2 linked regions of the Arabidopsis thaliana genome follow. The protein of the gene in region 1 interacts with the protein of each later gene in a pairwise test. Each region holds a gene or a part of one and is shown on either strand. Other genes may lie near its edges.

Region 1 (3,754 bases):
TTTTATTGCTAAAATTATTAGAGGAACAAAAATATATGATCTTCTTTTGTTAACAAAAAGAAACGTTTGCAAAATTGATCTTACTTTTGAAAAAGCACATGTAACTATTGAGAATCGGATGCCATGATTCTCTTCTCTGCATCGTGACTCGTGAGAATAGGATGTCGTCATAGCTTTCTTTCTCACTTTGCAAAGAAAATGTTTGACCTTTTGCAGCTAAAAAGTACAAACCATGAAGTTGTCTCTACTTTACTCTTCTGCATGTATAAAGGATTCGTATGTGGTCAATACATTCACAACTCCATTTCAACTTCATAAGCGGTAAAAACTTGTTACACAATTCTCTCTTGGTTGATTGATTGCTCTTCTTTCTTGTTACCAAGTACAACTTTGGATGTAATTAGTGATGAGATTGTTATTTATTTGATCGTTTTGACCATGTTTTCAAATGTCGAAATTTTCATTTTAACCATGCGTTCGTACACCTTCTACTCTCTATTGTATCATTTCATTCAATATCTGGTATATATATATGGCGACATGTGTTGTGCTCCATAGTGCCCTCATATATATGTTCGCTTTTGCTTCCCTTTTTTTCTTCTGCTAATTAGCTTTAATTACATCTACTAAAAAAGTAAAAACACATTTATGAAAAAAACATAGTAATAACTAGACTATGACACGTAAATTAGTGGTTTAACTTGTGTTTGTACCATTGTTATATCACCATGGAGATTTATCAAAATATATATATATTTTTAAAAAAAGAGTTTAGTTTAACAACTATATTTAACAACTATATCGAACATACACTTAGACTTACATCTATGCCATTGTCTCATCTATTCACATTTGAAATCTTTTAGAACGATGGGTTAAAACTCTAGATTAGGCTGTGGACCACCCAAGTGATAGCAAACAATGTACACGCCGCTATGATAGGAGCTTCCACTTATCCTAATAATTAAAGTATTCAATACCACGATTCAGAAGTCATCCAAAGTCAAAACCTCGCACGAGTCATGGGCTCATGGCTTACCCGCTCCGCGGTTGTACTTTGTATATGTTTCAAAAGCAGGAAAACATTTTTTAAAGCAATTGTAAAATAACAAAACAAACATAAATTATTTGATAGCCGGAAACTATATATGTATTTGTTACGGCCAGAAGTTGATTATAACCAAAGTAGTTAAATCTTGAATCTGCTTTTTCATTCTAACTTTTTTTTTTACCACACATCAATCCAAAATACTGCCGATGAAATTTGTAATTAGTATCAACTTCTGTCTAAAATACAAATTTGAACTTCTAATTTAGATCCAAGCGATGACAACTACATTTCAAGTATCATTGTAGTTTGATAGACTAGTGTTACACTAAACCTAATAAATATACCAATCAACACACAATGAACCCTTGTTCAGGAGTAATAAGGGTTCAAATTTGCAACTCTTTTGTCAAGGGAAGGAAATAAATAATCAAATTGTTAGCCGATGCATGATTGACGAAAAGTAGGGGTGTTTTTTACAAATAAGCTAAGATGGCTTTAGAGGACCACCAATCGGTCCAATCCTTTAACACTCAGAGCCTGAGGCAGAGAACACGATGGGTCATCTTATATTTGTTTATAAAATTGCCAATAATTGAGATAAGGTATCATGATTCATCAATCTAGCTAGACTGTGTGTACCATACATAAACTATAACCCATGTGTATAAAATATACAAATATCTGTGAACATCAACCACCTAACTATAATGAATATGAAAATCATACGACTAAACTAATTTACGTAAACTATACTACTTTGAAACAATTATTCATCAAATTCTCTTATACTATTAATTGTGGTTTACTAAACTTCCAAGTTTTATGTTTTACTAATCCTGTAAAATTAGACTTTAGCCGAGTCCGTTTGAATCTAGGATTTTTGAAATTTCCAGGTGGCTCAAAGCTAAAGAAAATGTGAATGAGAAATGATTTCAACGAAAATAAGATTTACATAATAGCCAATGACATATATGCACTTGTCAAGTTGGAGTTAAACAATAACCACACACCGAATTGAGGAGCCCATTGGAAAAAACAGAAGCAAATATATTTTTATGTAAAAATAGAAACGGAATAATATAGTAACAAAAAGATACTCTCTTCAACCTTATCCATTCTTCGCCACTTCTCCCACTAATCCGCTAAATCATTCTTCTTCATCTCTCTCTCATTCACAATTCCCGAAATTCTCTCAAATCACAGATCCTTTTAGGGTTTTTCCACTGTTTCTAGGTTTTTTTTATTGCTCAAATCTGATCAATGGATAGTTGTCTCTCTAATCAAACGGCGCTTCAGTTTCTCCCGTCGCGTTCCAGGAGACAGAGCGGCGATGGAGGCGGTGGTTTTGTTATTCCGGCGAAGAGGAAGATCCAGTATAGTTCGATGGTTGTGGTTGCGGCGGCGGGACAGAGTCGGTGTGAGCCTGGAAGCAGTCTAAACGCGCCGCTTGAGCCACGATCGGCGCAGGGGAGGTTTCTGAGAAGCGTGTTGCTAAACAAACGGCAGCTATTTCATTACGCCGCCGCTGATGAGCTAAAGCAACTGGCTGATGATAGGGAAGCTGCTTTAGCTCGTATGTCTCTCAGCTCTGGTTCCGATGAGGCTTCTCTCCACAGGTCCGTGAAACCTTTCCTTATCTAATCTCTCACAATTCAAAGATCCGTAAACAGCTGTAGAATTATAAACATACAAAGAAATATGTGTAAATCATTACTTACATACTCTTATTTAATCGACCACAAATCAGTATTTTATTAGTATTTATCACATAAGCTTGTAAAGTTTGATTATAAGTTGTTTGATGGTGTTTATCAGTTTATGATGATTTGAGAATCACACTAATGATATGGTTGAATTGAAACAAGAGAATTCTGTAGTTATGATCTTCAGGTGCTTTCTCATACTCTGCCTTGTGAAGCAAGTTTTGTTTTAGTGTTTGATAAGGGCTGGTTTTGCTTTTTTACATTTCATTGTTGCTTAGTTCGTTAAATAGTTTCCGTATATTTTAGTTTCTTGCCTGTGTTAAACTCTCTGACTTGCTCAGGCCATTTTATGCTCTGTTTGTGAACATTTTCTCAACTATCTTCTGCTCTTTTACGAACACTAACACTCTGATTCCATGGTTGGCAGAAGGATAGCTGAACTCAAGGAACGCTACTGTAAAACTGCAGTCCAAGACATAATGTACATGTTAATCTTTTACAAATACTCCGAGATAAGAGTCCCTCTTGTTCCAAAGCTATCCAGATGCATCTATAATGGAAGACTCGAGATCTGGCCTTCAAAAGACTGGGAGTTAGAGTCAATTTACAGCTGCGATACCCTTGAGATCATCAAAGAACACGTTAGCGCAGTCATCGGATTACGGGTCAACTCATGTGTGACTGACAATTGGGCAACAACGCAGATACAGAAACTGCATCTCAGGAAAGTATATGCTGCCTCGATCTTGTACGGTTACTTCTTGAAATCAGCTTCCCTAAGGCACCAGCTTGAGTGTTCCTTATCAGATATTCATGGAAGCGGATATCTGAAAAGTCCCATCTTTGGATGCTCATTCACAACGGGCACTGCACAGATCTCCAACAAGCAGCAGCTGAGACATTACATCTCAGACTTTGATCCCGAGACATTGCAGAGATGCGCAAAACCAAGGACAGAGGAGGCAAGGAATCTGATAGAGAAGCAAAGTTTGGCTCTTTT
Region 2 (3,754 bases), on another chromosome or scaffold:
GGAGGTAAGTAAAAGGAACTATATGGATCGCAGAGACAACGATATATAGGTCACGTGTGTGGGAGTTTTGTCTAACCACACATATAAGAGAGGAACAACATGGACTCGAGGAAGACCACTCGTAATGAAGTTAAAAGTTGAAACTTGTAAATATTATCAATCCCAACAAAAAGAAGAAGAAGAAAAAATATATATTGGTTGTTTTAAACTCACTTTTGCGATAACTTGGAAAGTGGGAGGACGCTCACGTGCATGCATACATTTCTTGTCTATTATATGTAGCTGATTCAACATAACTCTATATATCTTGTTGTCTATATTGCATTATAGTTACACTTACATTACATACGTAGTGTGAAAACGATGCATAGCATTACTATACATCAAATCTGTGCATATATATACACGTTACGTTTCTTGCAGTGAAATACTCGAAGGTGGATATGTGCTCTTGCACCACCTAATTAATCTCGGGTTATGTAAGAATTACTTCAGAGTTCAGAGTATATATCTATGTGATTCTTGCGCAGTGTCAAGTGGATTGGGCATGAGATTGATAACCGAATGGGTGAGGGGTCAAATATCGTTATTTGGATATAGCGGGATTTTAAACTGAATGATTGGGCCATGCATTGCTTGGGAAAAAGGCTAAAATTAAACAAGATTGAGATACACATTACCCACTTGTATTTTAGTTTCCAAAGAAAAAAAGGAAAAAAGGAGCAACAAGGCAACAAGTATGTAATGATCAAGGAAGTAAAAAAGGGAAGAGGAGTGTGAGAAAGAGAGCAAAGAGGAGCTGTTGGAAGAGGGAAATGGTCTTCTTCTTCGTCCTTTTGGTAATTTTTCTGCTTGTGTTGTGGAGAGTGGTAGTACTAGTGTAGAGAAAGGATATGGAAATCAGATTGTGATGAAGATCTGATTTGTAAAGAAGGGGCCTCCCCACAACGCCCTTGAATCTTCCGCTCCAGCCTTGATCTCCGATTGTGACGATCACCGCATCGGGACGTGGGGAGAAGGAGACCCAACCTCTTTTGGAGTAGACGTGGAACTCTGCATGGCAGAAGTTGAGACATAGAGAATGTCTTTCGTCATAGCCTCTTAGCAGCATCCTTATGGCTTCTTCCTTTGATTCGTTTTTAATATTATGCCTCTTCACGTAGCAAACCCCTACCCCTTCCTTTTGGCTTCTTCCTCCTGCTCCTAGCTTTTCTCTCACCGCCTTCCCTATCCTCTCTGCCTCACCCATCAACTCCCTGCATCTTCAAATCATTACTTACTACTTTATTTTAAACAATATATATTCCTAATCAATTACTATATATAGTAAATTTTGCTGCCTTACCTCAAATCTGAATAACAAGCCGTGTGATCATCAGCATTAATATCTTTATTAAACACGAACTCCTCCGTCTCATCGTGGAAAATGGTTTTGTCCATGGCGGCTTTCACCATAGCCTCTGGAACACCGTGGTTAACGAGCTGAAAACAACCGATGGTGGCGATGGCATCAAGCAGAGCCGAGAGGGAGTCCAACCGGTGGAAATCGAAGGTGGGAGGGTTGAGAAGGAATGTGTGCTTGGGGAAGACTTTATCGGGCAATACAAGATTTGGGACTCGACCACACTTGTCCAGGAACTCCGAGAGGACGTCTTCGTTGGCCGTGAAGGAGGCACGGCGGCTGGATGCTACCGGGGACGGAGGAGGGGCTCGGAAGTCGGGAGAGGAAACTCCCATTTTTGTTTGGGGTCTTACTCGTGATAATACTTGTATATATGTAGAGCAAGGATCGATCATTGGCCAAAGAAAAAGTTTTTGTTAAATAAAGCGAGAGCATAATGATGAGATGCAATTCTCTTGTTTGCTTTTATTCATTGCAACTTTTCCTTTTCCAAAAACCAGAGAGGATGACACTATTCATCATATTATGGATGGACCCAAGTTGGGCCTTAAGCGGCCTTTTGTTTACCCAATTGACGTGGATCCTCACAGGATGGGCATCGAGTGTGACACAAGTCCAAGTTGGAAGAGTCCTTTTCTGTCACATAAATAAAAAAATAAATGTCAAGTAGAGAGGGCAAGTGGTGAATCTCTCTCATACCAATTCCAAACCAACTAAATCTACTTAGTACCAGTACATTGATGGTAGTTGCATTTTCGCTTGAAATTGTCTGTCCTTTTGCTAGTTTGAGTCACAATTTTCAATTGAAAAGAAATAAGAGAGAGAGGTCAGAGTCAACGAAAAGTTATAATTTAGATTTTGTGGGCTAAAATTGACAAAAGCGTACCAATACAGGGACCGGTGAGCAATGGCAAATTGGTAAATAAAGGGAGAAGCCAAGGAGTGGAGACGCAATTTGGGAAGAGATAGAAAAGGAAGAAGACACGTCAACAATGGAGGTTCTGAAGAAGAAGACTCTCTCCCAGCAGATTTAGAGCGTGTGAGGGAGATAGGAAGAGAGAAAGTGAGCGAGAGACGATCACGGCCGCGCTGAAATCCACGACCACGGCCGCGCTGAAATCCACGACCACGGCCGCTCTGAAGAAGAAGACTCTCTCCGTCTCCTCCCTTCTCCTCCTCCGTCTAAGAGACAAGGCATCCCCAGACGCCATGATCTCTCTCACTCCCTCGTTGTTTCTGGTATTATTTACATCATTCCTTCTCCATCCATCGTCCATGTCTCATCTTTTTTTATATACGAAAAAGTCTCATTGCTTTGGTTTCTCAGAACAAGACGGTTGTTCCTGGATGTTCCACACGCCTCTCTCTGCGCCAGCCTAGAACTATAATTACTCCTCCTGCTTCCTTGAGAGTCTTTTCCTCTCTCGGATCTAACCAGGATCCCACCGGCAGCGTTTTGATTGAGACCACTGCCACTTCATCCTCCTCTCTCGAGACCTCCGCCGCCGACATTGTTCCCAAATCCACCGTATCTGGTGGAGTTCAGGATGTCTACGGCGAGGATGCCGCCACCGAGGACATGCCTATCACTCCTTGGTCTCTCTCTGTCGCCAGTGGGTATACGTTGTTGCGTGATCCACATCACAACAAAGGCCTTGCCTTTAGCCACAGAGAGCGTGACGCTCACTATCTACGCGGCCTCCTCCCCCCCACTGTTATCTCACAAGATCTTCAGGTTTCCCGTCTTGTCAGGTTTCACTTACCCTTTCTATATATATATATGCAACTGGAGATTTGGACTTTTGATCCTTTTACTGCACGCTTTGTCTACAGGTTAAAAAAATTATGCACACTCTTCGTCAGTATCAAGTTCCCTTGCAGAAGTATATGGCTATGATGGATCTCCAGGTAAACTAACTCATTAGGAAGTCTCGCTATCTCAACTACACCAAGTGCCTTCCTTTGTTACCCAACTTCTTTCACAATGCTTTTGTATTTCAGGAGACCAACGAGAGGCTGTTTTACAAACTTCTCATTGATCACGTCGAGGAGTTGCTACCCGTTATCTACACTCCAACGGTTGGGGAAGCCTGCCAGAAGTATGGTAGCATTTTCCTGCGTCCACAGGGGCTTTTTATCAGCTTGAAAGAAAAGTGAGCCTTTTTATACGGAAATCAACTACCACTTTCACTATTCTTGTTCTCATCTTTTAAGTGAGGATACAATTTTCAATAATAGAGGTAAGATTCATGAAGTGCTGAGGAACTGGCCTGAGAAGAACATCCAGGTCATTGTTGTCACTGATGGGGAGCGCATTTTAGGGTTAGGAGATCTTGGATGTCAGGCAAGTTG

The links. Proteins that work in one complex are often made in the same cells at the same time.
Region 2: the proteins of AT3G07310 (region 1) and NADP-ME4 interact in a two-hybrid assay, tested with the Arabidopsis thaliana proteins (one large-scale study listed by BioGRID).

The regions. Positions count from the first base shown.
Region 1 is NC_003074.8:2,328,235-2,331,988, reverse strand, and holds the start of AT3G07310 (phosphoserine aminotransferase, putative (DUF760)), read left to right. Parts: upstream 1-2,062; 5' UTR 2,063-2,311; coding exon 2,312-2,667; exon of another isoform or gene 2,668-2,897; coding exon of another isoform or gene 2,898-2,941; intron 2,942-3,181; coding exon 3,182-3,754.
Region 2 is NC_003070.9:30,010,037-30,013,790, reverse strand, and holds the start of NADP-ME4 (NADP-malic enzyme 4), read left to right. Parts: upstream 1-2,100; 5' UTR 2,101-2,611; coding exon 2,612-2,641; intron 2,642-2,729; coding exon 2,730-3,137; intron 3,138-3,235; coding exon 3,236-3,310; intron 3,311-3,403; coding exon 3,404-3,555; intron 3,556-3,640; coding exon 3,641-3,746; intron 3,747-3,754. Other genes in the region: DTA4 (downstream target of AGL15-4), read right to left, coding at 749-1,256, 1,346-1,797. UniProt on the Arabidopsis thaliana protein: The chloroplastic ME isoform decarboxylates malate shuttled from neighboring mesophyll cells. The CO(2) released is then refixed by ribulose-bisphosphate carboxylase. This pathway eliminates the photorespiratory loss of CO(2) that occurs in most plants.